Diceros bicornis minor: one gene and its partners. The protein of the gene in region 1 interacts with the protein of each later gene in a biochemical or structural test. Links are inferred from orthologs where the notes say so. Each region holds a gene or a part of one and is shown in the gene's direction. Other genes may lie near its edges.

The links.
Region 2: of the proteins of CHEK2 (region 1) and CDC25A, one has a biochemical effect on the other in vitro, tested with the Homo sapiens proteins (5 studies listed by BioGRID, with this or other methods). The link is inferred for Diceros bicornis minor from reciprocal best matches to the Homo sapiens genes CHEK2 and CDC25A.
Region 3: of the proteins of CHEK2 (region 1) and PPM1D, one has a biochemical effect on the other in vitro, tested with the Homo sapiens proteins (2 studies listed by BioGRID, with this or other methods). The link is inferred for Diceros bicornis minor from reciprocal best matches to the Homo sapiens genes CHEK2 and PPM1D.
Region 4: of the proteins of CHEK2 (region 1) and CDC25C, one has a biochemical effect on the other in vitro, tested with the Homo sapiens proteins (14 studies listed by BioGRID). The link is inferred for Diceros bicornis minor from reciprocal best matches to the Homo sapiens genes CHEK2 and CDC25C.

The regions. Positions count from the first base shown.
Region 1 is NC_080774.1:22,521,189-22,528,463, reverse strand, and holds the start of CHEK2 (serine/threonine-protein kinase Chk2), read left to right. Parts: upstream 1-4,262; 5' UTR 4,263-4,349; intron 4,350-4,373; exon of another isoform or gene 4,374-4,706; 5' UTR 4,707-4,773; intron 4,774-5,211; 5' UTR 5,212-6,349; coding exon 6,350-6,674; intron 6,675-7,275. Other genes in the region: iron-sulfur cluster co-chaperone protein HscB, read right to left, coding at 1,363-1,507, 2,131-2,220, 2,570-2,666, 3,783-4,018. UniProt on the Homo sapiens protein: Serine/threonine-protein kinase which is required for checkpoint-mediated cell cycle arrest, activation of DNA repair and apoptosis in response to the presence of DNA double-strand breaks.
Region 2 is NC_080741.1:49,428,035-49,435,161, reverse strand, and holds the start of CDC25A (M-phase inducer phosphatase 1), read left to right. Parts: upstream 1-4,125; 5' UTR 4,126-4,572; coding exon 4,573-4,742; intron 4,743-5,754; coding exon 5,755-5,828; intron 5,829-7,127. UniProt on the Homo sapiens protein: Tyrosine protein phosphatase which functions as a dosage-dependent inducer of mitotic progression. Directly dephosphorylates CDK1 and stimulates its kinase activity. Also dephosphorylates CDK2 in complex with cyclin-E, in vitro.
Region 3 is NC_080757.1:26,535,822-26,543,702, forward strand, and holds the start of PPM1D (protein phosphatase 1D), read left to right. Parts: upstream 1-4,875; 5' UTR 4,876-5,045; coding exon 5,046-5,502; intron 5,503-7,881. UniProt on the Homo sapiens protein: Involved in the negative regulation of p53 expression. Required for the relief of p53-dependent checkpoint mediated cell cycle arrest.
Region 4 is NC_080740.1:56,902,902-56,910,732, reverse strand, and holds the start of CDC25C (M-phase inducer phosphatase 3), read left to right. Parts: upstream 1-4,818; 5' UTR 4,819-5,031; intron 5,032-5,044; exon of another isoform or gene 5,045-5,251; intron 5,252-5,456; 5' UTR 5,457-5,472; coding exon 5,473-5,666; intron 5,667-6,395; coding exon 6,396-6,490; intron 6,491-7,187; coding exon 7,188-7,233; intron 7,234-7,831. UniProt on the Homo sapiens protein: Functions as a dosage-dependent inducer in mitotic control. Tyrosine protein phosphatase required for progression of the cell cycle. When phosphorylated, highly effective in activating G2 cells into prophase.

The DNA.
Region 1 (7,275 bases):
TGATCAGATTTGGGTTTCAAAAAGATCACACAAGTGACAGTGTAGGAATATATTAGATTGAAGGTCCAGATAAACCAGTCTGGAGTTACTGCAGGTGTCCAGATGAGAGAGAATGGTAGCAAGGAACAGGTGATGGCAGTGAAAATGGATGGATGGATTTGAGACACATTTAGAAGGTCAGCTTTTCAAGACTTGGTGATGCACTGTCTATGGGGGTAAGGGAGAATAAGTTGTCAAAGATGCCTACTCACTGTTTTGGACTTGTGCAGCTGGATAGTGTCACTCACTCAGAAGCGAACATCAGAAGAGGCATAGATTATTTTTTTGAGGAGGGAGGGGAAATGTTCATGAATTCCATTTTGGACACACTGAGTTGGAATATATAAACTCCACAAAGGCATGGACCATGTCTTTCTTGTTCACTGCTTTATCCTTAGTGCCTGATCCATGGTAGCCCTGCTATAAATATTTGTGAAAGTGCATATGTACTTTCCGTGAAAGTGCGTACTATTGGAGTGAGAACCCTGAGGACTTTTCTCCATGGCACAGTTAATTTCATGCGTCAACATTTAGGCTATGGTGCCCAGCTGTTTGGTCAAACACTAGTCTAGATGTTGCTGTGAAGGTACTTTGTAGATGTGATTAACATTTACAATCAATTGATTTTAAATAAGGAGATCATCTTTGATCATGTGGGTGGGCCTCACCCAAGCAGTTGAAGGCATTAAGAGCAAAAACTGTTTCCTGGAGAAGGACTTCTGCCTCAAGACTAACATAGAAATCTTGCCTGAGTTTCTAGCCTGCTGGTCTGCCCTACATATTCTGGACTTGCTAGCCCTCATAATCATGTAAGCCAATTCCTTAAAATAAATTACTTTTTCTTTCTTTCTCCATCTCTCTCTCTCTCTATATATACCTACATACATATACACTATTGGTTCTGTTTCTCCGGAGAACCATGACTGAAACACTATGGAAAAAAGTGGAAAGCAAAGCAATCTGGGATCAGAAGACCAAGGTTTCAATCTTTGCTCTGTAATGTGACCTTGGGCATTTCCATGAACTTCTGAAGCCTATTTTTCTTGTCAGAGACAATGATGTTATCCAAATGTCATGGGTAGGAAGGAGGATTGCAATCTGCAAAACACTACTATATTCTTGGTTTAAGGCAGACTTCCAGAGACTTAGAGATGTTGCAAGTCTAACTTCCAGACAAAATTGGTTTCAGTATAACCAAGAACAAAATTACTCTCTGAATCATTATGATGACCAATATGTACTCTTTATATTCATTTTTCACTTAACTCCAGACATGTACTCATAATGGCAATAAAATGAATTTGGTGGTATTTTATCTTTTACCTCTGACAACAGATTCAATCTCTTTCATGGCAGCTTCACTTTGAGCTTCTGTGAGTTTCTCATTCATTTCCATTATTTCCATGAGGAAATGCCTGTCCATTTCATAATCTGTCCCTTCAGGAATCTGTACTCCATGGAGCTTTAGCTATTGGAGCACAAAGCAGGGAAAACATAAGTCATATATATATGTAAGGTATAAATATAACTTATTTGTATTTATTATAAATAATAAGGTTCAAGAAACTATGGTCAGAGTCATAAATCCTACTCACCCTTCAGAACAGAATACCATTCACAGGGAAAACTTGAACTGTCCTAATAATGAAAGCGAGGGTAGGGTGCTGGAAACTTGGGCTGAGACAGGAGTGCTAGGATGGGATCCCTCTCTGCTACCTGGAACTGTGTGACCCTAGGGGAGTCACTCCTCCATTTGGGAGGCTGAAATAGATATTTGCAAAGATTCTATTAAATCCTAAAATTCTAAGGTGCTCACCTCCCCCCAAAAATACTCCCAAATTACTCTTCCCTAAAAGCTATCACCATTCAAGCCTTGAAATTTATAGAAAATAGTTTTAAAAAATGCAATTGGCTAAGTAAGATTTACAGAGAATGCTCAGAGAAAACTATATTTGTATAACGTCTTTGAGGCTAAATATCTTTGGTCCCTGGACTAGCTTAGGTCTCAAGCACTCCTCTGCTGAACAGAGAGGAGCAGCGGTCCCACAGCATAATGGACACCAGGCAGTCACACATGGGAAATCACCTTACAAGGTATAGTCCCCTGCTCAGGGGTGCCAGAAGGGTCTTATAGGCATCATTCACCAGGGTTGAATGCTTCTCTGAGAAGTCCTTTTCAGTCTGTTAGTGGAGATAAAGAAAGTCTTATTACCAACCAAATCAGCCATTTTACATTCACAAACTGTTTCATAAAATACCGAGGTGCAGGCACCTAAGAAGTGGTCAGAGTAGAACTGGGGTGGGATGAGCTGTCTTTATTTTCAGCTGATGGGTTCTAATTCTGCTGGAAAGTTGGGTAAAAGCTGTGAGTGCAGGGCAGGTCCAGGGCCTGGCCGGCCTGGGTCAGCGTGTCCCAGGGTGGACCGGGTTGTCCAGCTCTGTCTCTGATTATCACATAACCACAAGGCCACTGCCACCCACCCGGTGTGCACATGTGTTTTGGTATCATTAGGAGTGGCCAATAGGCTACCTGAGACCTCTGGCTGAAGAAATCTGGGTGGACAAGACGCTGCAGTTGCTGGTACCTTTGCTGGAGCTTCGCAGTGTCAACTCTGAAGGAGCGGTTGCTGGAAGGAAATTGGGAGAAGAAATTTATGCATCAAATATTTATAGATTTGTATACTATGGCCCTGGTTCCTGTTCTCATGGGGAAGAGGCAATAAAATGTAGACAGAGATAATTTCAAAAAGTGGTAGGTGCTGAGGGAAAAGAGAATAGAGTCAGAGAGAGTGGTAGATGTGGTTGACAAAGAGATGACATTTGAGCTGAGACCCGAATGATGAGGAGTAATCAAAGACCAGAGCAAAGAGTCATGCATGCAGAGGGACCATGCAAAGGTGGGAACAAGTTTGGTACCTTGAAGAACTTAAAGGGTAGTGTTATTGCAGCCCATCATAAGTGCTCAGTGACTGGCGGGAGCAGATCCCAGAGCTAAAGGGAAGGGGCATTCCCGAATCCCACCCTATCTTTCCAAAGCCCAGGTCTCTTCATCTCTGTCTCCCACTTATATTTTAATCCAATCCCTTTCACTTTCTATTCCCAGAGCCTGCCCTCTCTGCCCACCTTTACCACCTCTCCAAGCTCCTCAACCTTCAGAAGAAAATGGGAAATAACCACTCCTTTCTCAGACCCTCTCCCTCCAATTCTCACTTTTCCCTTAGACTCCGCCTACAATGTTAGGTTTTCTGTGCTTTTACTCCCTTATTTTGGATAACACCTCAGTACCGCTTTCTTAAAAGTCTCAACCCAATTTTAATCATTCTGACCCTATCCCTCAAATCTCCCGTCTCCCGTCCCTTAGGCCCCGCCCCCAACTCATCTTTCCCTCAGGCCCCGCCTCCCAACTTCTCTTTCTCTCAGGTCCCGCCCCTCGAGTCTCCCTCCACTGAAGCTTCCATCCTTCAATTTCCCCTAACTTCATTCCCCGCCCCTCCAGTCCTGCCTCCACTCTTGTGTCTATCCCGCAAAGTTCCTTCCCTCAGGCCCGCCCCTCAATTTCCTCTCAGGACACATCCCATCCTCCATTTTCCCAGACCCCACCCCCAGCCCCTGCTCTCTAGGGCTCCGCCCACCTATCTAACCCATTCCTCCTCCCTGACGAGGCTGAGCAGCCCTCCCCTCTCGCACGCCAGCCCCCGACATCCCTCTCGCCCTGGCGCGTTTCCCGAAACCGCCTCCCGTACCAGTCCATGAGGCTGAAGTAGTCTCGAGTGGGGTCAGGTGGCTGCAGCGCGCGGCACTGCGGACAGAAGAACCCGTCCCCCCGCATGGAGCCCCCTGGGCCGCCGCAGTTCCAACACCTGGGGGAGTTGCTTCCCGCCAGCGATGCAGCATTGCAGCCCAGCGGTCTCCTTCCGAGAACCCCTGCTGGCCACAACCCCCACACCCGGAGCAAGGCCCCTGCCCTCCCGCCCCACATCTGGCTCGCGGCCTATCTCGCCGCGTTCACCCGTGGGGGGAAAAGGGGAAAGAGCGGCCGACTAGACTAATGATGTTGATTGGCTGGGGAGCTGAGGGGGCGGGATCACCCAGGGGAAAACTGGATTCTGAGTCCCGCTCTGCGTTTTAAACTACAACTCCCAGCAAGCCTTTAGGCTCCGCGCGGACGGTCACATCCGCTGCTCCTCATTGGTCCGGCGGCGGCGGAGGGGTGTTTTGATTGGCTGAGGGTGGAGTTCGTATCTGCTCGTTTAGCGCCACTCGGGTGGCTGCGGCTGCTGCGAGTGTGCGACTCCAGGTGGGCTCACGCGGTGAGTCATAGTGGGGAACTTCTCTTGGGTGTTTGGGGATTCGAATCCCGTCCTCAGGGTCTTAATGCGAGCTGAATTTCCCGAGCTTCCGCTTTGTTCGGTTTTTGAGGTCGGGCGGTGGGGAGAGGAATGCGTGGCGACTCTCTTCCTTCTTTGTAGATCAACCTCGAGGTGAAGTTCACTTCCCCTGTTACTTGCAAGCTGAAACTGGCCCGAACATACAGGATAATAAGGAATAAAGTTGTGCTCTTCAAAATCAGAGCGAAGTTGCTTTGTAAAGAGTTCTATAAATGTTAGTAATTCTTACCATACTTTAGGATCAATCTCGAAAATAACCTATTAAGAACCCACTCTTAGCTGCTAGGCGCTGCAGGAACTGGAAACACACTGAGGATGTAGGAGGATGCCCTGCGAATGTCCATGAGTAAGTGTGTGGATGGGGTGGCGGGGAACGGGTAGGAGAGCACCAATCCTCCTTGGGACTGAGTTTCTCTATTTGAAAAAAAAAATTGTGTTGCACTTGTAAGGGCTTTTCCGGCTGTCGGATTCTTTGGGACTGGAATTCTCTTCTCTCAATTATCAAGCGTTACTGGGGAAGGAGCTTTCATGCATCATCTCAGTTAATCCTCCAGATCTATCTACTTTTTTCAGATAAGGAAATGGGCACAGAAAGGTTGTGATCTACCTAAAGGTCATGCAAAGATTTGACTCAGGCATCTGACTCCAGACTTGTTTGCCTCTAACCACTCCATTATACATTCTCCTCATGGCTGAGGCCAGCGTGGTCCCGGTCCCGTGGACCCTTATTTATCATAAGCGATGATAGCAGCTACCATTTGACACACTGTCTACCGGTTTTCAGGGCGGAGAAATCTTGCTCGAAAAGCTGCAGAAGGACACAGCCGGCTTAGGTAGTAGAGCAGCAGGTCCCGGAGTGGCAGACTCAGCTCTGGCATCACCTTGCTGGTGTGCTTTAAGGAAAATTCATCAGGACCTTTGTATCTGCAAAGCTGTGTAAATGCAATCAGTGTGAGTAATGTTTACTATGTTCTCCTTGAGTAGTGTGAGTGTGGGGATCTGGAGGAAATGCACCTTTTTTTCCTTACATCAGATTAGGGATTTAAAGTTAGGGATTGAAGGTGACTTGACTCTAAATTCTGTTATCAGAGTTGAACTGTCCATCAAATGAATTCTAAAGCAAGGGTGGGAACCTACCTGTGTTACAGTCTCCTGTGACTCAAAGAATAGTTTCTGCAGGATTCTGTCATGCTGTGAGGCCAGTTAGGATGTTGATAAGTTGAGCCCCGTAATTACTTAGCATCACAAAGGGCTAGGTGGAGTTGTTTAGAGCAGTCTTCTTTGTATTCTGCCTCCTTAAGTGGCTCCGCTCTTAGGTAGGAGTCAAGGAATCTACAATGAACAACGGGACAGGAGTCCTACCCTCCAGGAACTGGCTTGGGGGAGAAGGGGCATCAGTGACATTTTATGTAAATGGCCACCCCTAGAGTGTCACAGGGAGTTAGAGTACAGTTTCTTGTTGCCCATCTTCTACCCCAGGCCACCTGACCCATCCCCTTCTTTCCCTTTCCAAAACATATAGGAAATTTAAGTGTAGTGTTGATTGTATTAATGACTGTTTTAAATTTCATTTCTAATTTTTTAAAATTGGGTGAATGTAAGCTGTTACAAGTCTCTCCCTCTCCCCAACTCAGTTTCATTGCTTTTTAGTTATCTATAGCCTTCAAATAATTTTTTGTTTCTTTTCCCTGTGGTTTGTGGCTGTCAGACAAAAAACTGATCCGGTGAAAGTGATGTGATGAATAACTCAGTCCAGAAGAACTATAGGTCTAGACTGTTAGAATTTTAAATTTTGCAGAGCATGCTTGCTCTGGATTTTTTTTTTTTTTTTGCCATTGTAGTATGCCCATCCTTCACTCTTGAACTTTAAGTCTTGTTCCTTGAAACTCACCTTATTGTTGGACACTTTCCTTGAGGTCGTGATGTCTCAGAAGAAGGATGTGGAGCATCAGCAGTCCCAGGGCAGTGGTGCCTGCTCACAGTCCCAAGGCAGCTTCTCGCAGCCCCCTGGGCTCTCCTCACAGACACAAGGCTCCTCTTCACAGTCCCAGGGCACGTCCAGCTCCTCCACCAGCACAGCGCCCACGTCCAGCCAGTCCTCGCACTCCAGCTCGGGGACAGTGAGCTCCTTAGACACAGTGTCCACTCAGGAACTCTATTCTATTCCCGAGGACCAAGAACCCGAGGAGCCTGTCCCTGCCCCTTGGGCTCGATTATGGGCCCTTCAGGATGGATTCTCCAATCTTGGTAAGACCCTTTGTTGTATAGTGTAATATTTTGTTCAGAAAAACAGTTAATGGAAAGTTGTTGCAACAGAAAGCTCAAGATGCTCCTGGAGTTCAAAGGTGATGAAAGGTGAAACCAGGGACGCAGTTTTGGGTAGCGCGTTGGCTCTTAGCTGCTGTGGATCCCCTTCATTTTTTCTTTTAACAAATATTAATTGGGGATCTGCAATGTGCTGTCCATCTGAGCATCTGAAGAGAGCTGTGGACCGTGTCCCTAGAAAAATGCAGATTCACTCAAATTTGCACATATTTACCATTTAATCACAAAAACTTCACCACTGAACCCCTGCTGTGGTATGCTGCAGCTTCAGAGCATCAGTTTTACACTTTCAGAATAGAGAAGGCTGTTTGATCACCACCTATTATTTGTTTTTATCTCCAAATAGGCAACCCTGCAGCTAAATACATTCATCCTCTCTGACACCTGGTTCCAGTAGTAAGGCATTGCTCTCAGCATGTTTTTTTTGTGTATGTGTGTGAGGAAGATCAGCCCTGAGCTAACATCCATGCCACCCAATCCTCTTTTTTTTTTTTTTCCTGAGGAAGACTGGCCCTAGGCTAAC
Region 2 (7,127 bases), on another chromosome or scaffold:
GGAGGAAAACAGGGTAGCTTCGGACCGAGATAGGAGCAAGATTTCCTCCATGCGTTTTTTTGTTATTATTTAAATTTGTACCATGTAAATGGACTGCCTACTCGATAAATAAATAAATAAATAAAAGTCAAAGCTCCCCAGATGTTTGCAATGTAGAACCAGAATTTGGGAACCTCTGATTCCAGGTACTCCTCCTTACCTCGACAGTACCTAAGACACTGGTTATATAGCTTCCTGGGCTATTTATTCCATCTTGAAAAGCTCTGGTAGTTCTGGCTTTCCTTCTTAGTGTTAAACTGAAACCTTGTAGCCTCCAAGGAGGCTCATGCTGCTTCCTGTAACCATGCAGAATAAATCCAATCCTACTACTAGCACAGTTGTGTGAAAGGAGAATGGGCACATGTAAACCATTGAATGGAAAAGGAATGTTTCTTTTTCTACAGAAAATAAGCCTAATAAATTGATGGGAAATTTTTTTTGTTGTTTTTTACTTTTTTTGTGTGTGTGAGGAAGATCAGCCCTGAACTAACATCTGCCAATCCTCTTCTTATTTGCTGAGGAAGACTGGCCCTGGGCTAACATCCATGCCCATCTTCCTCCACTTTATATGGGAGGCCGCCACAGCATGGCTTGCCAAGCGGTGCATCGGTGCGCGCCCAGGATCCTAACCAGCGAACTCCGGGCCACTGCAGCGGAGCGCGTGCACTTAACCGCTTGCACCACCGGGCGGGCCCCAATTTACTTTTGTCTTTAACAAGGGGAATACTTTCTCCAAATAAAATCTACAGGGCCCTGTGATATATAATGCAAATTTAAAAGCTGAGTTTCTGTGGCTCCCAAGGAGTGGCAGGGAGGAGCCAGGAGCCCTGCTGGGGTACCTCACTGCTTGAGAGACACAGTTGTATTCCACCTCTCTCACCACTCACAGGTAGAAACTGAGGCCTACTTCTCCCCCTCTGCATCATCTCCTCCCTAGTTCAAGTTACCACCATCTCACGGTAGGACCTTGTGATCCCCTCCAAACTGGTCTCCCCAGCTCTACCATTGCTGCTCTCTAATCAGTTCTCCACTCTGCAGCCAGGGTTATCTTTTCAAAATGTAAATGTAAACCTTTCAATTGTTTCCCATTGCCCTTGAGATAAAGTCCAAGTTCCAGAATGTTTTCTACAGCCCCTGCAGAGTCTGGGCCCTCCCCAACCTCCTCTTCTTCCACTGTTCTCTGCCACACACAGGGGACGCCTTCTAGCCTCAGAGCCTTTGCTTAGGGCCTGTCCCTCTGCCCAGAACACTCTTTCTTCCACTTTCTAAGGATTTATCCTTCTGGACACCTCCTCAGGGATTCCCTGATGTACCAGACCAGATCAGATTCCCTTCTTAAACACTCTTAAAGCATTCACACTTTTTCTTTGCAGCATGTATTCTGTCTACATGTACTGAGGGGTCCCCTGAACCAGGTAGTGGGTGGTACTATAGTAAGGAAAAGAAAGGCAGGTCCCTACCCTTTCAAGTTTATAGTCATTTGGGGGTACTCACCCTGATTAAATACTCACAGAAACAAATGTAAACATGCAGTGCCTGGAAGGTGGATGATAACAGGGGAATGTATCAGCCAGGGTGTCTGAGGGTAAAGCTTACCTGGGAAAGGTGGGTGTTAGCTGAGTGAAGTGAGTATGGCAGTGAGGAGGGCATTCCAGGCAAATCTCCAAGGAAGCACTGACCCTATCTGTTTGGACCTAGCAAACTGGTAGGCTCTCAGTAGACAATGAATGAAGGAGTGAGCAAAAATTTATTTGCCCCAAAGTAGAACCAGATTAGAACTCAGACCTTCCAATTCACAGTGCAGGGCTCTTCCCTTCCCCTAGTGCTGCTCCAGGATTTTGGAGACCATGCCTAAGTGAATGAGGAAAAGAGTTTGGTTAAATTACGCTTTTCCTTTTGCTTCCATTTCACAATTGAAGATGCCCAAACATAAAAATCACCCTCAACACTTCAGTCAACCTTTATTTTTGTGTGTCTGTGTGAGGAAGATCAGCCCTGAGCTAACATCCATGCTAATCCTCGTTTTTTGTTTTTTTTTGTTTGCTGAGGAAGACCGGCTCTGAGCTAACATCTATTGCCAATCCTCCTTTCAACTCCCCCCAAAGCCCCAGTAGATAGTTGTATGTCATAGCTGCACATCCTTCTAGTTGCTGTATGTGGGACGCGGCCTCAGCACGGCCGGAGAAGCAGTGCGTCAGTGCGCGCCCGGGATCCGAACCCGGGCCGCCAGTAGCGGAGCGTGCGCACTTAACCGCTAAGCCACGGGGCCGGCCCTCAGTCAACCTTTAAGAAGGAAAAAAAAACAATGGTTCTCTGACATTTCTTACACCAAGTTTTTATTTCAATACTTGGACTTGCTGGTGGAAATACTCCAGTATGTTAATCCACTTGGGCTGATCCCATTCAGGGAATGTCCAGCAAGGAGGGAGGGCTTTCCATTCCTTTATTTGACCGTGAAACAATTATTGACTGTATACTTACAGTGCACACACATACAAAAAGTTCAAAATGTTGACAATTGTTTCTCTGAAGATGGTAGAATTACAGATGATTTTTAAAATTACGCTTATCCGTATTTCCTAAGGCTATAATTATTTTGTATTATTTGCATAATACAAACCTTTGAAAACAAAAGCTTTTCAAACAAATATTTAATAAGTTTAATGGTAGGTCTTACGCAGAGGTAGTAGTCATAATCTCTACCAAACACCTAAAATAAATATACAATTTGGAGGCCAGCCCAGCGGTAGAGAGGTTAAGTTCACACACTCCCCTTCGGCGGCCTGGGGTTCACTGGTTTGGATCCTGGGGACAGACCTACTCACCACTCATCAAGCCATGCTGAGGCAGAATCCCACATAGAAGAGCTACAACTCTACAACTATGATATACAACTACGTACTGGGGCCTTGGCGAGAAAAAAGAAAAAGAGGAAGACTGGCAACAGATGTTAGCACAAGGCCAATCTTCCTCAAATAAATAAAGAAATATACAATCTAAATAAGCAGAGTGTCTGTTCTAAACATGCTGTCTAAAGACAAGTCCTCTTGCAGCCTGATTGCTGTACCAATGCCCCTCTACTAAAATCATTTATTCTAGGAGCTGCCACTGGAGCAGGGGATATAAAAATAAATACAGTCACCTATAAAACGGGAATAATTCCGCTCAGTGTTGTTGTAAGGATTCAATGAATTAAGACAGATAAAGCACTTGGAACAGTGGCACATAAGCACTATATAAGCGTTAGCTATTATTATATTTATGGTACTGCTAAATAGGAGCAACCAGTGGGGTACCAAAGGGTGGCAGAGAAGGAAATGATTCTGAGAAAATATAATAGGAGCTAAAATGGAAGTGCGCTAAGATTACTGAGGCCCACGGCCCAGGCCGGATTGTAGGGTCAAGTCTTGCCGTCAGCGGCTTGTGGTCGCCACAGCCTGCAGGATCTTTGATGGCCCGCTGGACAGAAGCGGTGGACAGGAGTGTTAGCGCCCGGAACTTGGGCCCTGCTGTCGGGAGGCAGAGCCCAGTCCTCGGGTCATTCAGTTCCCTCCCTCGTTATAAAACCGCGGCTGAGAGGCCCAAGGCGTAAGAGAGGGGTCCACACTACTGCACGGTTATAAGTCGAGTCACGGCTGGGTCCAGCCGGGTCCCCAGTGGCTAGCACAACCTTCTCCATCTTCCACACTCCCTCAGCCTATGGGACTCGGGACTCCCCGGCCCAACGCGGGTTGGAGGTCACCTGACCGCTGCGTGACGTGCAAACTACGCTTCCCAGCATGCAACGGGTGAAGAGGCGCCTTCCGGTCAGGCCGGAGCCTCGCAGGTTCTGCCGGGAGTTTTCATTGACCTCTGAGCTCCTTCTCGTTCCGAGCAGCTCAGGTCTCCTCTAGGCCCCGCCCCTTTCTGAGAGCTGGTGACCTCGCGGAGTCCCGCGAGCTGCTTCCTTCTTCCCCTCTCATTGGTCCAGTCTAGCTGCCATTCGGGTGCGAGGAGGAGAAGTTACTTACTGATTGGTGGATTCCGTTTGGCGCCAACTAGGAAAGGGGGCGGGGTAGTGGCGGTCCCCAGTGAGCAGCTATTACCGCGAAAGGCCACCTTGGCAGCGACAGCCAGAAGGAGGTGAAGGTCGGCTTGGTTCTCTGCAACCTCGGGCTGGGCAAGGGGGTGAGAGAAAAGCGAGCAGAGTGTGAGCCCAGGCGGTTGACTCGCGGCTCTGGCCGCTCTCCCTTCCTGACCCTCCGCGTTTGTTTGGATTTAATCTTCAGGTTGCCGGCGCCCGCCCGCCGCTGGCCTCGCGGGGTGAGAGGGGAGCACCCGTGCGTGTGGCTGGCGCCTACCTGGTCCGGACACTCGCCCGTCCGCGCCGCTTGCCCGCGGCAGCCGCGTCCCTGAACCGCGACATCGTGTTTGTGTTTGACCCGCGGGCGCCGGCTAAGGGGCGCGCGGCCGAGGCCAGTGCCGGCGGGGCGGGGCGGGCGCGGCGGAGGCGGAGGAAGAGGGAGCGGGAGCCTTGGGAGGCTGGGTGCCGCCATGGAACTGGGCCCGGAGCCCCCGCATCGCCGCCGCCTGCTCTTCGCCTGCAGCCCCCCTCCCGCGCCGCAGCCCGTCGCAAAGGCGCTGTTCGGCGCGCCAGCCGCCGGGGGCCTGTCGCCTGTCACCAACCTGACGGTCACCATGGACCAGCTGCAGGGGTTGGGCAGGTGAGGAGGGACCGGCGAGCAGTGCCGCAGGCCGCTGGCCTCCCAGACGGCTCTCGGGGAGATCAGGCCGGGAAATGGGCCAGGAGAGGGGCGAGACCTGCCGCCCGCATGAGGCGGGGGCTCACCATGTGCACCCTCCCCATAGGCGGAATGTTGGGCGGGAGAGGCCGTTCGGATCCTCCAAGACCGCCCTCAATCCCCAAGCCAGGCCCGGTAGTGGGTGAGAACGGCCACGGCTCCCCACCTTCGCCACCTCTTTCGGATTGCCCTGTACTCTTCTGTCCCTATCCCAGGAAGCTCTTTGACATCTAGCCCCACGGGGGAAAAGCAGGCCCTTCTAGGCGCTCACTTCCACCCTTTGCTGAACCACCTCACAGGATCGTAGTTTCCTGTGAGCTTTGTTCCTTCTCAACAAAGAGAAGTGGCATTTTCTTTCCTGGCGTTTGCGCAAAATCGTCGCAGTCTCTCGCCCCGTGCACATTCCTTATGTCCACCCCGGTGGTTTCCGTAATAAGGCCAGGCCTTTTTACTCAACTTTCCGTTCTCAAAAGCTCCCTAAACTTTTCCTTGTAGCAACAAATGCATCCTACAGTGTTTCTGGTGAAGCTGTTTTCCCTTCAATCTTGGACATCCCATTTTCTAAGTAAGCACGTGACTTATACGTTTTCCAACCTCTGGAAAGCAGGAATTTGTCCTATTCATCTTTCATCCCAGCTCCTAGCACAGTACCTAGAACACATGCTCTCATTTCAGGAAATACTCCAACAATCATCATAGTCATCCTGTCCTACAATGTGACCCAGGCCATGCCCACCCACTCCTTTCTCATCTCCCTTTATGCTCTAGTGCTAACTGGCGGTTCTGGGTGGCAAAGTGTTCTGTGGTGTGGCCTGGAAGTTATGATGATTGATGGCAGCCTGCCTACTAGCTAACCTCATGGCCTGTCTCCTGTGTGTAACCTTTTAATTATGTCCTAGAAATATATAGAGAGAATTATTTCTCTTGGTTTCAGTGAGTGTGAACAGCTACTGGAGGTGAAAAACAGCAGTTTGCAGAGAATGGGTTCCTCCGAGTCAACCGATTCAGGTATTCCTTTGGTCTTCGATATTTATCATGTGTCTGCTTTGTGGGAGCAATACTTGGAATTTGCTGAAACATGCCCCTTCACCTAAGAACTTAGTTTGGTGAGTAGTTGAGACAATAAACAGAGAAGTCATGGCATTGAGTGACTAATACCCTTAAGAATAGTACAAAGGAGTCCCAGTGGCAGTTTATGAAGAGAAGAAACAAGTGTCTGCTAGAAGGTGGTGTGTGTTTGGTCTTGAGGATGCGTAGTAGGGTAAAATTAACCATACCACTGTAAGTGGCATTCCAAAAATCTCATTGGTTAAAATACAGGGTCAAATTGTTGGCATCTGAAATATAATGAAATTATTTCAGTGAGCCTGCCTGCTGTGGAGGAAATTTGCCAGTGCATTTTATTCTAATTTATAAATTCATGTTACTGCAGAGTTTATCTGTATTTGCACATATGCTTTAGGTTAGGAAACTGCAAGAGCAAGTCTTCAAATGTAGGCATAAGAACTAGGGATAGGATTCTCATTTGTGGCAGTGTGGCAAGGGAGAATACCAGTCAGGAGCTAACACCTAACTTCCTGTAAGGTTATATAGACATCATGGAGGAAAGGTATGTGCTAGGCAGGCACTGGTGGGTCTGGGCCACGCTGAGCAGTGTCTCCACCCTGCTGCCTTTGGTGAGATGGTCACCTCACTTGGTGTTATTTTGTTGAAGTCAATAAATACTTGCCTTGCTTGTCAGATGACATAATTGTATTTTCCAAACCCCAACATTGTGCATATGATCAGACAAAATAAAATACTTGAAATCAAAACTATTCCAGAAAACTGGTACCTATTCTTTCCATGGTTGGAACTCACATTTAGAAAGTTACCTGGGTAACCTCTAGCTGAATAACCAAGCAATCATGAGAAGGTTTGGTTTAATTCACACTCTTGAGGGCCGGCCCCGTGGCTTAGTGGTTAAGTGCGCGCGCTCCGCTGCTGGCGGCCTGGGTTCGGATCCTGGGCGCGTACAGACACACTGCTTCTCCAGCCATGCTGAGGCTGCGTCCCACATACAGCAACTAGAAGGATGTGCAGCTATGACATACAACTGTCTACTGGGGCTTTGGGAGAAAAAAATTAATTAATTAATTCACACTCTTGATGGTATTTGCAAGGAAAGGGGGATTAGTAGATATACTATGAAAATATTAAGACTTGGGCAAATATAAAGTTTTTGACAATCAAGTAGAGATACAGCTTCAATTCTGGCAAAAGTCCAAGCCATAAGTTTCTGTTGACTGGCTTAAAGAAACAGTACTA
Region 3 (7,881 bases), on another chromosome or scaffold:
AATAGCAAATTAATTAGATTCTTATTTTGCTTCTAAAATTAATTCTTCCAGTATATGTTTGAAGATTTTAAAGTCAATAATTAAAAGCAAGATATGAGGGCCGGCCCCGTGGCTTAGCGGTTAAGTGCGCCCGCTCCGCTGCTGGCAGCCCAGGTTTGGATCCCTGGTGCGCACCGACGCACTGCTTCTCCGGCCATGCTGAGGCCGCGTCCCACATACAGCAACTAGAAGGATGTACATCTATGACATACAACTATCTACTTTGGGGCTTTGGGGGAAAAACAAATAAATAAATAAAATTATAAAAAAAAAAAAAAAAGCAAGATATGACTCCCAAACCAATCAGTGGATAAGAATAGTTACCCCTGACATAGATCCAAGGGTATATTAAAAACTTACTATCAGGGCCGGCCCCATGGCTTATCGGTTAAGTGCGTGCACTTAACAGCACTGGTTAAGTGCTGGCGGCCCGGGTTCGGATCTCGGGCGGGCACCAACACACTGCTTGCCAGGCCATGCTGTGGCGGCATCCCATATAAAGTGGAGGAAGATAGGCACGGATGTTAGCTCAGGGCCAGTCTTCCTCAGCAAAAAGAGGAGGATTGGCATGGATGTTAGCTCAGGGCTGAGCTTCCTTACAAAAACAAAAACAAAAACAAAAACTTACTATCTAATGGAGTATCACTAACCAATAAAATAATGAATCATTTCGCAAAAGACATTGGGAAACACATTATTTGGAAGATTCAAATTCACTTCATGCTAAAATAATTCCAGATGAACTTGAATGTAAAAACACATTTTAACTGTAAAAATATTAGAAGAAAACATGATATTTTAGTCCTATTTAACTGATCTCAGTTAAATAGAAGTGAAAGGAACATTCTGAGCATAAAACTACTGGAAATATTAAGAAAGTTCAAGAGGTTTTAATTAATTAATTTATTTATATATTTTTCCCCCAAAGCCCCAGTAGATAGCTATATGTCATAGTTGCACATCCTTCTAGTTGCTGTATGTGGGATGCTGCCTCAGCATGGCTGGAGAAGCAGTGCGTCGGTACGCATCCGGGATCCGAACCCCAGGCCGCCAGTAGTGGAGCACACGCACTTAACAGCTAAGCCACTGGGCTGGCCCCAAATATTATTTTCAATGTGCTGGGAAGTCACAAAGTATATTGAGTAGAGAAATGACTTGATCTGATTTATGGTTTTGAAAGATCGCGATAGCAGCTAGTGAAAAAAGGATTGCAGAGGGTCAAGAGTGAAAGAAAGGAGACTTATGTAGTGGTCCAAGTACAGAGACGTAATAGGGGCTTGGACTGGGATGGTAGTGGTGGAGGTAGTGAGAAGTAGTGGGTTCAGTACTGATTTTGAAGATTTAGTCAAAAGCATTTGCTGATGAATTAAAAGGATTGGAAATTGGTGGGGCTAGGGAGGGGAAGGAGAGTGGAGGAAAGAGAGGGATAAAAAACTCCTATTTTTTTTGGCTTAAACAGCATGCTGGATGATGATGCTTACTGATGTGGGTAAGACTGAGGGAGGAGGAGATACGAAGAAGAAATCAAGAGTTTGTTTTGGCCATGTTAAGATGAAATGCTCATTAGATATCTATGTGGAACTGTCAAGTGTGCAGTTGCATATCGAGTCTGAGATTCAGGGTAAGTTCAGGACTGGAGATATAAATTTGGGAGCCATCAGCAGACAGTTTTTAGAGCTACAGTCCTGGATGATGTTACCTACAGTATATAGGTAGAGAAGAGAGCCCATGACAAAGCCTTGGGTACTCCCAACAATCTAAAGTCTAGCAGGGGATGAAATCCAGCCATTTGTGACAACATGGATGGACATTGAGGGTATTATGCTAAGCGAAATAAGTCAGAGGGAGAAAGTCAAATACTTTATGATCTCACTCATAAGTAGAAGATAAAAACAACAAACATACACATAGAGACAGAGATTGGATTGGTGGTTACCAGAGGGGAAGAGTGGAGGGAGGAGGGCGAAAGTGATGATTAGGCACTAGGCACATGTGTGTGGTGATGGATTGCATTAGTCTTTGGGTGGTGAACATGATGTAATCTATGCAGAAGTAGAAGTATAATGATGTACAGCTGAAATTTATACAATGTTATAAACCAATGTTACCGCAATAAAAAAATTTTAAATTTATTTCTTAAAGAAACATTACATCATCATATAGGTGGAAAACCAGGATTATTTGCCATAAATAAAAGGTAACTGGGAAAAAAAAAAGTCTAGCAGGGGAGAAATCAGCAAAGGAAAATGAGAAGGGGTGGTCAGTCAATGAGGTAGGAAGAAAACCAGGATAGAGTGGTCTCTTATAAACCAAGAAAAGACAGTTTCAAGAAGGAAGCAACGGTTTGACCTGCTACTAAGTTTCAAGAAGGAAACAATTGTTCCGCTTGCTGCTTCAGTTGGAACAGAAGTCAATCAACACAGAAAGGTCATCATTAGCTTTGGAAACAGAGAGGTCTGATTATGTCATAAAAACAGTCTTAGTGGAATAATGGGGATTGCTTAACTGGAATGGGTTTGGGAGAAATTAATGAGGTAGGAATCAGAAGTAGAATCTGGACAGAAACAACTCTTTCAAAAATTTTTCCTGTTAAGGGGAGCAGAGAAATGTGGTAATATAAGGGGTCCAGGTCTTTTTTTGTTAAAATAGAAACCAGAACATGTTTGTACACAAATGGAAATGACCCAGCAGAAAAGGAGAAATTGATAAGGTAGGAGCAAGTAAGGATAATTGGTGGAGCAAAGCTCTCAAGCAGAGAAGAAAGGATCTAGAACACAAATGGAGAGATTGCCTTTAATAGTAGCAAGGCCACTTCACCATGAAGAGGAAGACGAGAAACGGAGAAGGCAAAATGCTGGACGGAAAATGTGGATGATATTTTGAAAAAGAAAGTGGCTGAGAAGTGACAAGAAAAGTGGAAGATAGGCAGACAGTGAGCCAAAAACAGATGAAAGGGGAGTTACAGGGATCAGTAGGTGACAGCACCTTGGTGTAGTGGCAGTTGGCATTAACTATAAAAGAGCTTGGGTTTTTACAGGATAAAGGAAGGGAAATGATTCGAAGACAACATGAAGAGCAGATTCAAAGATGAGAATATCTGTGAGAGGGAAAATAACCTCCTTACTTGAAAAGTTGCAAAGGGGGTAGTTTTGTCAGGTGATAAACCAGTTTTCAGTTGGAACAGGAAGTTGATGGGAAGATTTAGAGAACAGGTGAAGAATAAAGGGGAAACGGCTGATAACAGATGTTAAAATCTAAAGTGTGGAGTGAAATGGTTAGGATGGTTGGTTAGGATTGTAAAGCATGATGGAATTATCTTTTCATAATCTCTAAGTGGAGGGAGGGATGGTGGGTAAACTGTGTAAGATGAATTGGAGCTACATAAACTGTTCTCGCTTGCAAGTCTGGTGGTGTGGAGGCTACTGGATTAGAATTGCTAATATTTCACTTAGGATTTTTGCATTTACAGTCATGAAATATGGTCTATAGATTTCCTTCTAGTAGTATAATTGTAGGTTTTGATAACAGGATTATGATCCTCTTTGAAAACACCCTGGGATTTTTTCCAAGTATTTTTACACTCTGGAACCATCTGGTCTACTGCATTTTAGTGTAGGGGATATCTATGATTACACTTTTTAATTTAATTGATCTATTCAGATCTACATTTTGAGCTGATTTTGCTTATTTATATTTTTATTCATATAAGGATTTTTTTTTCTATTTGTATTTCTTGTGTCAATTGTTTGTATGAACATTTTCCCATTCCCATTTCTGTACTAGTATCATTCCATTTGAAAATCTCGAAGGCTGTCTAGGAAAGGGCACACAGGAGAGTTGATGGTGAAGTGGCCAGAAACTCAAAAAGTGAACTTTAAACCGGTTCACTGAAGAACACTTGCTGCTGAGAAGATGCTAACCTGCCACTCTGAGGCTTATTTTAACTCCGTGGAACTCCGTGCAAAGGTTTTAGCGCTTAGATCGTAACCTACCGGGCGAAGAGGGGGGACGATAACCCGATTGTTAGACCACTGGAGAGCTTGGCAGTTTTTGTAAGTTATTTTCCAGTGATAACTCGAAGTACTGCCACCAAAGATGTACGATGCTGTACCCAGGGCTCGTCGGAAAAAGTGCCACGTTTAACAGAAGCTGAACAGATCTGTTAAGAGTTAGTTAAAATATTTTGAGTCTCCGACATATCTGGTTATGTGAAACGACCCTGCGTAGCTGATGGAAATTCCCCAAGTTTTCTTAACACCACAAACTGGATCCCCTCCCTTAACTCCCAGTCGGATACATCCCACCCGAATCCAGTTCAAGAGCGCCACGCTTTTTCCAGCCTGTTCACAAACGACCTTCCGAAAGGAGGTTTCCCGCCATTTCACTTCAAGGAAAGGAAGGTCTTTCCCCCCCGATTCTCCACACTCGTGGGAGGCCCGAAGCTACACAGCTTTCCCCGCAAGGCGACCGGCGGGACGTCAAGGGCAGCAGGCTGCATTACGATCCCGGGGATTGAGCAAAAAGGTGACACCAGGTCGCTCGACAAAGGCTCAGCATCTACCGAAAACACCCACTGCGAAGGGAAAGCGAACACGCCTGAGCGCGGGCGCAGAGCCCGCTCTGAGGGATGAGAGCGCGGCCGTTGTAGGAGGAGCGAGGGTTGGTTTGGAGGGCGGTTCGCTCCAACTCCGCTCCGGATTGGCCAGACCCAGAGAGCCGAGTGACGACAGCGGGGGAGAACGTCTGATTTGTGTGGTGGGCGCGGGCAGGCGGGGGAAGCGTATTGCGCAGGCGCAGCTGCTCGGCTCCTCTCGCCCTAGCGCTCCGGCCCAGCTCTCGCGGACAAGTCCCGACATCGCGCGCCCCCCCCCCCCTCCGGGACCGCCCCCTCCCCGCTCTCGGCGTCGTCGAAGGTAAACAATAGTTGGCCGGCAAGCGCCGAGGCTGTCTCCCGCCGCCGGATTCGGCGGGCTGCGTGGGACCGGCGGGACCCCGGCCAGCCGGCCATGGCGGGGCTGTACTCGCTGGGAGTGAGCGTCTTCTCCGACCAGGGCGGGAGGAAGTACATGGAGGACGTTACTCAAATCGTGGTGGAGCCCGAGCCGACAGCCGAAGAAAAGCCGTCGCCGCCGCGGTCGCCTCCGCAGCCGTCACCACCGGCTCTTCCTGGCAGCGAAGTCCCGGGGAAAGGCCCAGCGAGGGCAGCTCGAGAAGCTCGCGACCCTCCGCCGGACGCTGGGGCCTCGCCGGGTCCCGGCCGCTGCTGCCGCCGCCGCTCCTCTGTGGCATTTTTCGCCGTGTGCGACGGGCACGGTGGGCGGGAGGCGGCACAGTTTGCCCGGGAGCACTTATGGGGTTTCATCAAGAAGCAGAAGGGGTTCACCTCGTCGGAGCCGGCGAAGGTTTGCGCTGCCATCCGCAAAGGCTTCCTCGCCTGTCACCTCGCCATGTGGAAGAAACTGGGTGAGTTTCCCGGGTAGTTGGGCGCCCGCCTCTTTTTCGGGTGGTTGGGGGCTTTGATAGCGCCGGCACCGCGTGAGCCCCCGGCGCGGAGAGCGCTATCAAAGTGGTCGTTGATGGCATTGAAGACTTCTCGGTGTGATAGCGCCTTCCCGAGTGGAGGTCGGGCAAACAAAGTGGCCCTGGGAAAGATAGGATTGCAGTCCCCCTCCAACCGCTCCTCGCTTTATTTCCACCCTCTAAGGATCAATGGGAAGAAGTCTTGTCCATTCGTCGCTTCCCTTTGGTGGCAGCCGGCGAAAATGTCTTTGAAACCTGGCGCCAGATTTGGGTCAAAAGATGAATTGAAGATACGTTGCTACTTGGGCCGCGCAAAGGAAGCGGGAGATGGCAAAAATTAAAGTGTTTCCTTACTGTCAATTTTGCTCTTGAAGGGCTTGTCCCTATCGGTTGCCTCCTACCGGTGATGTCAGTGCTCCACATTGACCCCAGGTGACTGGTAGTTGGAGTAAAGTTGAAGCAAGCTAGTTTAGAAGGGCTAAAATGTAATCATCCAAGACTTAAAGCCTTGGAAGGAATTCGGTCGTGGGGATCATAAAATGTTTTTAGGATCTTAGTGCTTGTACTGCTTACGGAAAACAAATGCGCGGAGTGCGTTACCTCTTAAACTAGCCCCACGTTAGGGTTATGTGTTAAATTCTGTTAGGGTTTTTTAAAACCCCCCCTTTTTGGGTATTTGCCTTAGCTAATTGCTGTCGGATAGTTCTCAACAGTTCCTAATTAAAAGTACTTATGAGTTGTAACTGCCTGTCAGAGTGGCAAGAGATAAGGAATTACTGATATGCTAAAAGAGAATAGAGACTTTAATTTGTAAACATTCAGTGTAGTTGTAGTTTCATCTGAACTTTAAATGTTTTTTAAAGCAGCCAGTGTTTCTGTACCAACATATGTTATCATACAGGATTATAGTTGCTTATCCAGTGCTGTGAATGAATGGCATGAATCTTTTTTAGAGAAGATACTTCTGTCATTAAAAAAATCCTCTTGTTTATGGTAGCATAATGTTGCTTTATTTCCAGCAAAGGGGCAGAGACATAGAGAAAAGAATGTAAACATTGGTCAAACACAGAACATTTTTAAAAAATATATTGTCATAGAGTTATAGACTAGCATCTTTCAAAGTCTGTTTTCTATTTACTTGGCTTTCTGCCAAGAAGTATTTGCTTGACTCATAGAACAACCAGTCTGCCTGTGGGAGGCGTTTCCCCTCCAATCCCAGAGGTCCCTATTATGGATTTGTTTTGTTTTTGTGTAGGCAGAGCAGAACTGAGAGCACTGCAGTATATTCCAGAAATATGTCATTTCATTGCCTGCAGGGCAGCTAGGAGTGGACAGCAAGACAACAAAATAGAGAAAGATAAGACGCAAAGAACTGTTTAGAGTCCTGTTTATTTTGCAGTATACTTGGAGCAATGTGTATTTGGTGTATGTTTGAATTAAGAGGATAAAGTATAAACCCTGTTACTTGAGCATTTTTTAATAAAGCAGGGGTCATCTATTAAATGTGAATATGTATGTTGTTTTACACATACGTACTTGTTGAATCAAACTTGCCCTCCTCTGAGGCGTGGCTTAGAGCCTTACACACCAAATGTTAAAAGTTTGCTTTGTTCCACAGCTAAACTTCGTACTCCATCCTCAAAACTTGATTTAAAAAAGTATGCTGAGTATATGGAAGTCTTGACACAGGAGATGCAAGTTTTTTAAAAAATTGTACTTCAGACCCAAATTCACTGATGGCTTCTCAATTTCTATAAAATAAACTTCAACCCTGCAGTTTATCTACATGCCAAGCCCTTCCCAGTCCAACTTCAGACTCCCTATTCAATTTTATCTGTTTACCCACATTTCTATCACATTAGTCTACTCACCTTTTTCCAGGGCATATTGAAATATTCCATTTTCTTGAATTCCCCTCCACCCCTCAAAAAGAGAAAACTGAAAAATATTCTCCTCAGTCTCCAAGTCAGTATACTTTCCTCTGTGAAGACTTCTGTTTCTTTTGGAGTTAAGCATCCTTTGTTTCTACTTTTGTAGTCCTCGTTGGGTTATAGCAGTGGTTGTCAAACTTTTTGCTTTCAGAACCCTTTGTATTCTTAGATAATTGAGGACCCCAAAGAGCTTTTGTTTATGTGGGCTACATCTATCAATATTTGCTATATGAGAAATTAAAAAAAGTTTATTAATCTATTAAAAATAAACTTATTTGTTAATATATTTTTAAATGAAAAATCACTTTTTTCCAGACTAAATAATGAAATAAGAAATATTCTCATATCTACTTTTGCATCAGTCTGTTGTGCTATGTTGTTTGGTTGAAGT
Region 4 (7,831 bases), on another chromosome or scaffold:
CAAAAAGATGGAAAAAGGAGAGGTTTTAAACAATGCCTTCGTGTTGTGATCTCTTTGTAGGGCAGAGTTTTAGATTTCTTTTTTAATCGTTTGGAAAGTAGCAGTAATGCAAGTAATCTTCACTATTACACTTAGCAACAAGTCCCCTGAAAGACATCTGTTTTCCCTAAATATTTTGTTCCCCTTTCAAGTCTGGTACAGATAAGTAACTGATCAGCTAGAAAGTAGAGCCAGTGGTGGGAATCTTCCTCACAGAGCCAGGAGCCACCAAGTCTGCAAACTGAAAAAGAAGAGTAGAGGGAAAGTGAGGTAGTTATGAAGAAAATGGGGATGGAGGGAAGATGCACTGCACATTTCTTTGCCCTGCACATTGCCCTTTAGCAAAAGAAGGAGGGGGGGGGGGGCATGAAGTACAGGAGACATGGCTTCCAATAACTGCTGTTGTGGAGCATTTATGTGCCAGGCACCGTGCTACATACTTTAAATATATATGCTCATTTTTGCTTAGAATCATCAAATGAGACAAAATCTCCTTATTTGACAGATGAAATAGCTGGAGAGGTTAAGTGACTGCCCATGTGGTGGACAAAGGTAGTATTAAAAAGCAGTCTGAGGCTCTGAAAGACAAACACCGTATGATCTCACTCATATGTGGAATATAAACCAACACATGGACAGAGAAAACTGTATTGTGGTTACCAGGGGCAATGGGAGTAGGGGGTGGGCACAAGGGGTGAAGGGAGACATGTATATGGTGATCAACAAACAAAAATATACAACCAAAATTTCACAGGTATAAACTATTAAGACATCAATAAAATAAATTAAAAAAAAAACAGCAGTCAGGCTCTAAAGCTGTTGGTCTTCACTGCAAGGTGATCCCCCTTTTTATTATTAACCATGCCTACTAAAGTTAAATGATTGAGTATAAGAAGTTAGCATTGGCTTATTTGCAAAACATTGAAAGAAACTGAGACACTTAACCAAACCTGCAAGTCAGGTTTCAGGCCTCATTTCAAAGGAAGATTACACCCCTTTCACCAAGTATAAAATAGCCCCCAGTGCAGCCCAACCTCCTCCCCATTACTAACTATAATTAAATCTCCTTATGCCACTTTTAGTTCTCAAGGCTTTTCTTACTCATGTCCTAGCTATTTGTTCCTGCTGCCCCATTTTCCTTCTTTTGTTCTTGGGCTACTACCTTCCCCCCCCCCCCCCCGCAAAGCCCCAGTAGATAGTTGTATGTCATAGCTGCACATCCTTCTAGTTGCTGTATGTGGGACGCAGCCTCAGCATGGCCAGAGAAGTGGTGTGTCAGTGCACGCCCGGGATCCGAACCCGGGCCGCCAGCAGCGGAGCGCACGCACTTAACCGCTAAGCCGTGGGGCCGGCCCTTGGGCTACTACCTTGAACCACATCTTAATTGTGTCCTCATGGGCCAGACCCCGCTCTGATGCTGCTCCAATGGGTTTCAGCAGAGGACACTACCTGGGCTCCCTTCTGGTCTCCATCAAGATTCTCTGAGGGTTCCAGAGTCTGAAGCCAGTCATCCAGGAGGTCATCCAAAGGAGTGAAATCCATTTAAGAGACTCTCCATTCCCTGCCTAGGAAGGCAGCAGAGTCAGAGGAACACACACCTCCTTCAGACTCCCTTTTCAACCAGTGAAAGCTAAACGTCTGCAAAGTGGGGAGAGGTAGGGCTCAGTCCACCACTCACAGAAGGAACCAGGAATAATGCACACACCCCTCAGCCTCCCTCCCTGCAGAGGCTGGCTAGGGGGGTCCCAGGAATGTAGGGCTCTTCTCCACTGCCTGATCTGGGCATCCCAAGAGCAACAGCTGTACCTCCTGTTCTTGTTTGGCATTTGAGGGTGAAGTCCTGGCTGTCACTGTGCTCTGGCAATGACAAATATGTGTTAGACTGAGGTCAAGGTGAAGGGGCACAACACACTGCTTCATCACAATGAATCAGGAGACTCGTTAGGGAATTCCTTGAGAATGAGGTAGGATCAATGCCATCAATCCAACAGAAAAACCAAATCTTCAGATCATATTAAACACCAAACTTCCTAATTCCCTAATATTCTTTCTTCTGGGAAGGATAAATTAGATATTCCAACTCCCTCAGAAGTCAAGATAGATATATAAGACAGTATTTGATATCCCTTTAAAATGCATTCTACCTTTTCATATATTTAGTTTGAAGGTATGCATGTAAACTTACATGTAATTAGGCAAATATGTTGCAGTTAGCCAAGTCAGCTGGCGGCGTGAGATAAAAATGGTTAGAAGGAAAAAACTTCATTAGCAAACATGGATAAAGCTTTAAAAAGTCTTAAGGGCCAAGTATATGGCTTCTTCTATTTGAAAAAATCTTGGAAACTTATTTTGGGGGCTAAATTGCAGGAGAATTAGTTTTATTATTTTTTTGTGAGGAAGATCAGCCCTAAGCTAGCATCCATGCTAATCCTCCTCTTTTTGCTAAGGAAGACCAGCTCTGAGCTAACATCTATTGCCAATCCTCCTCCTTTTTTTCCCCATAGCCCCAGTAGATAGTTGTATGTCATAGTTGCACATCCTTCTAGTTGCTGTATGTGGCACGTGGCCTCAGCATGGCCGGAGAAGCGGTGCGTCGGTGCGCGCCCGGGACCCGAACCTGGGCTGCCAGTAGTGGAGCGTGTACACTTAACCGCTAAGCCACACGGCCGGCCCAGCAGGATAATTCGTATTAGTAATGCTGCAACTTTGTGAGAGCACTCAGATTCTAGTATCTTTCCATCACCTGACATTGAACCAAAGCTGCTTGGTTGATGCTCTTGTTGTGACCACTCACAACTGCACTCACTTGAGGACCTGCTGCAGAAAGCACTGGTAACCAGGTGTCCACTTGCCATAATCTATCTGCTTTTGCCGCCGTTGTAGGACGATTTCATCTGTCTCTACCTCCCACCTGCAAGGAAGTATACAGTGACCCCATGGAGTGTGATTATAATCATCAAAACAGAAGCCAACTCATCCCACACTCCCTTAATCCCCAGCCTGATTTTCGAACTCACCTGGCATGGCAGGGATCTGTGCTGATTCCCACATTCACCATCTCTATCCCAGAGGACAAAGATTCTTCACACCCCTTCTTTCTCAGGAAGCAAATTCCACAGATGAAAAGGGTAAAACCCAGCTGACTACACTGCACCTCTCAGCCACTACCACCACCAAGATCCTGACACCAAATAAAGGTTGTATTTCTGATTTTCTGTTTCTCAAAGATAAAGGTTGCACTTCTAATTTGTTTCTTAAAATTTGATCTGCAAGCCATCTGCATGAGTAGCCCCTGGGGGCCTTGATAATTCCTAGGCCCCACTCTAGACCCGTTGAATCATAATTTTGAGGGTCTGCATTTTAAAGAGCTTCCAAGGTTATTTTAAACATTTTTTATTACAGAAAATTTCAAATATACAGAGAAGTAAAGAGAATAGTATAATGCCTTGCTACTCAAAGTATGGTCCCAGGACCAGCTGCATCAGCAGCAGCTGGGAGCTTGTTAGAAGCGTAAAATCTTGGGCAGCAACCCAGACCTACTGAATCAGAACCTGCATTTTAACAAGATCCCCAAGGGATTAGTATGGACATTAAACTTTGAGAGCACTGATATAATGGACCCCTCAGTTACCCATCACTCAATATTCATGGCCAATTTTGTTTCATCTATCCCCACCACCACTTCCATGGGATCATTTAAAAGCAAATCTCCGGGGCTGGCTTGGTTGCGCAGCGGTTAAGTGCGTGCGCTCTTCTTCGGTGGCCCAAAGTTTCGCAGGTTCGGATCCTGGGCGCGCACCGACTCACCGCTTGTCCAGCCATGCTATGGCGGCATCCCAGATAAAGTAGAGGAAGATGGGCATGGATGTGTAGCCCAGGACCAATCTTCCTCAGCAAAAAGAGGAGGATTGGCATTGGATGTTAGCTCAGGGCTGATCTTCCTCTCACACACACAAAAATAAAATAAAAGCAAATCTTGAAGATTAAGAATAAATTCTTAATATCACCTAGTCAATGTTCAAATTTCCATAAACAACCAAAGTTTAGGATCCTTTGGACTGTGATAAGGATTATGCTGAGATGATTCAACTCTCCTACTTTCCCTGAAGAATGAATTTCCTTTGCCCCACGTAACCTAGCATCTCAGAGATGCTGCACGCTAAAAGGGACACTGAACAAGGAAAGCTCTTGGAAGGGGCCAATGCCGCTCAGCATACGTACACACACCTGTATCGCCTCAACGTCTGCCACACCAGGGGCAAATGCTGCCTCTCCAGCGGAAGGCTAGCAAAATTAAGAGGGAAAGGTCCACTTAACGACAAGAGAAAGCAGCAAGGAAAAAGAAATGTTTAACACCTTCCCACCGAAATCAATTATCTCCAGGTGTTATCCTAACGAGTGGTCGTCGGGGGCGAGGTGCAATTTAAATCTCCCGGGGTTGGAGGGGCTGAGGGAAGGGAGAGCTCAGGAAGGGCGTGGCGATTGGCCAGAGGGAGAGCCAATGGTGCGCCAGGGCTCCTTGAGGGGCGGAGCTTACCTAGCCGCCTGCCGAACGCTGGTGGACCAATCGGCATCCTGCTCTGGCTGAGGGGCGGGGCAAATCTTGGTCCCCGACAGAGCAAATTCACGCCCCGGGTGATGTATGAGACAAACGATTGGCCGGGGTAGGGGCGGGGGGCGCGGGTCGGGGCGGGCGCGCGGAGATTGGCTGACGCAGCTTAGAGGCGAGCGGGATAGGTTATTCCGAGGGTAGAAGGTTTGAATGGTTAAGGCTTGTAGCTGTTGATATTCTCGCACCGAAGCTGTAATTTCGGCTCTGCGGAGAGAAGCGGCAAAGCGTGACCTTGGCCTATCCAGTCGAGAAGCAGAATTGTAGTCTAGTTAATTGCCGCCTTTCCCCAGATTTCCTTTAATTTTGCTCGAGTCTTCGCTTGTGTCTGATCTCCACCCACGCCCTTTCTCCTGGAGGTGAGTCTCAGACTCAAACCCGAGGTAAGCCCGGAGCCATCTCCGCCACGGAATCACCGAGACCCCATGGTCCCCTCAGGGTCCAGTCCCGGCCCCGCAAACGGAAGTTCGGGAGACCTAATAGGCATTGTCGCGAGTCAGGAGACGTGAATTCCTTCTGGTCAGGAGTCACGAGCTGTGTGGCCCGGAACAAGTCGAAGACCCTCTTTTTATTCCCTCTTTAGGGTCCTGAGGTTGCCTTTCGGTAAGTTCAGGTTCCAACGGAAAGGCCAAGCCTCTTTGGGCAAGTGGGATTTAACCATCAAGCCAAGTTATGATTCACCGTTTGGGGATGCCCCTCCTCCATTACTGATCCGCTTGGCTGCTGCTGGGAAGGGTGGTGGAGGTTGTGAAAGCTGGCCAGTATAGACGACGTTCGCCTCTTAGCTAGGTTTTATTTTTTTTCTCAGGGAGAGCTCGGAGACCATGTCTGCAGAACTCTTCTCATTCACAAGAGAGGCAGGAAGCCCTGGCTCAGGACCTAGTTTTAGGTCCAGTCAGAGGAAGATATTAAATCTGCTCCTGGAGAGAGACACTTCCTTTACCGTCTGTCCAGATCTCCCTAGGACTCCAGTGGACAAACTCTTTGGTGATTCTGCAAACCTAAGCATTTTGTCTGGGTAAAGCTTTTCTTTTCATGCCTTATCTCCTTTGCTTTTCTAAACAATTTTTAGATTTTGGTTTTGTTTTTTAATTATGCAGGCTCAAAGATGAGGGTTTAAGTCTCAGCTTTGCCCTTGACTAACTGTGTGACCCTTTTGAATCTCTTTTCTGTGACATAGAAATAATAATACCATCCTATCTTAGGAGAATCTTGTGAGAATCAAACGATGTGATGTCTGGGAAAAGTCTTTGAAAACTCTTGCATTATATGAATTGGTCACTTTAGTAGTATTAATATTAGTGTTACTGTTATTGTACTTTAAATTTTGGTTATGCCATGCCCTGACGCCTCTGCTAGCAGAGTTGGAGAGTTAATGGACCTGAGAAGTACTTAGCGACCCCAGGGAGAAGTCAAACCTATGTACTCTCCGTGCACAGGGCAGAAGAGGTGGGGTCAAGACTTACCTTGGCCAGTGAACTTTGGTCCTTAATTTAAAAAATTATCCTGTCTCAGTATGTTGGTGAGGAGAAAATGAAGTACAGATTATTGGAGTAGAGAAAAGGTGGGAGATTTTTCTCAGCCTGGTCTGAGATATTTCCAAAAATCAATTAGATTTATTTGGACACTGTTTGGATTATGTGATAGTCATCGAGAGACATTTCAAAAGAAGAGGATAACATGATCTTTGTCTTTTAAGGATATTACGACCTAATGGGAATCTTGATGTACTATTATGTCTCAACAGAGAAACTCCAAAACGTTGCCTTGATCTTTCGAATCTTAGCAGTGGGGAGATGTCTGCCATTCAGCTTACCACTTCTGCAGACTGTGATGAAACTGGTAGGGAGAAGGGCGGTAAAGGCTTCAAGGGAGAGAATAACTTTTAAGGGAGAGGACAGGATAGAAGAATAGAGATGGAAGGTGATAAAAGTAGGTAGCGAGACTTGAAGTTGGAATTCTTTGGGTACCTAGAGGATTTTTGAGGAGAATGATTAAGCCAACGGGAAGAGAAAGATAACACTAATAGGAGCCACTTTGCATTTGAAAAAGTTAGGAAGGCATATTTTGTTGACTGATTGATTGTGAGAATGAAAGTAGTAGTTAAGATGAAAGGTTTTATGCCCTAGTCTAATGTCCTCAGAGACAAAGAAACCAACATAAAGAAAAACTTTGTCAACTAATTCTTATCGGTTTTTATAAAGTCTGTGCCTAAAAAGAATATGTTTTACTAGTCAACCATTTTAGTATTTGTTCTAATTTCAGATTTACTGAGTGATAAGCTTTCTTTTCTACTCATGAAAAAAATCTCTGTAGGTTAACATAGTGCACTGCTTCCCGGCATTTCTTCTTTCAGTGACACATGTAAATTCTTAAATTTCCTTGAACGTGTACCTTGTACTATGAAATTGGTACCTAACAAGATACTTTGTGTTGTAACGGTCAGCTTTTGAAAATAATATGGCTTACTGATAATGAAGAAAATCAGAAGGAAAGACAAGATGCTTGGACAAAAATAACTCTTCATATCTGTTTGCAGGTCACTTGAAATCTTCAGGACCTCAGGAAATACAATTAGCTGGGATGTAAGTTCTTTTGCTAAATGAACCCCATGCTGAACACTGGCACAGGGATTTTATCCTATGCAGACTCTGCAGAGTATAGAATGTGTCCCTTTGGTTATAAGTGGGCCTGGAGGCCTAGATCCTTCCCTTGAAAGGTTTTTAAGTTTCCTAGATCTAAATAGTGTTGCGAAGATGAAAGCTACTCATTTTAACCATCACACACAATCAGTATTATCTTTAAAAATGGAGGAAAATGGTATACTGCATTTAGGCATATGCTGTTATCTGCATGTGAGTAGTGCTATATCTTAGTGGTTAAAGGTGCAGAGTGTAGGCTCTGGAATCAGAGTGTCTGGATTCCAGTGGCTTATTACTTTACCAGCTGTGGCTCTGACAAGTTTCTTAACTTCATTGGACCTCAGTTTCTTTATTCATAATAAAGAAGTAATAATAAAGAGATAATAGCACTTCTCATAAACAGCCATTGTAAGGAAATTTAATCCTTAGCACATACCAAGCATTTAATAATGTTTATTATTACTCATGAGGATTCTTTGTTGGAGATCTTAAAATGTTCAGTCAGGGAATACTCAGAGAATGAAAAGGGATTTTAATTCAA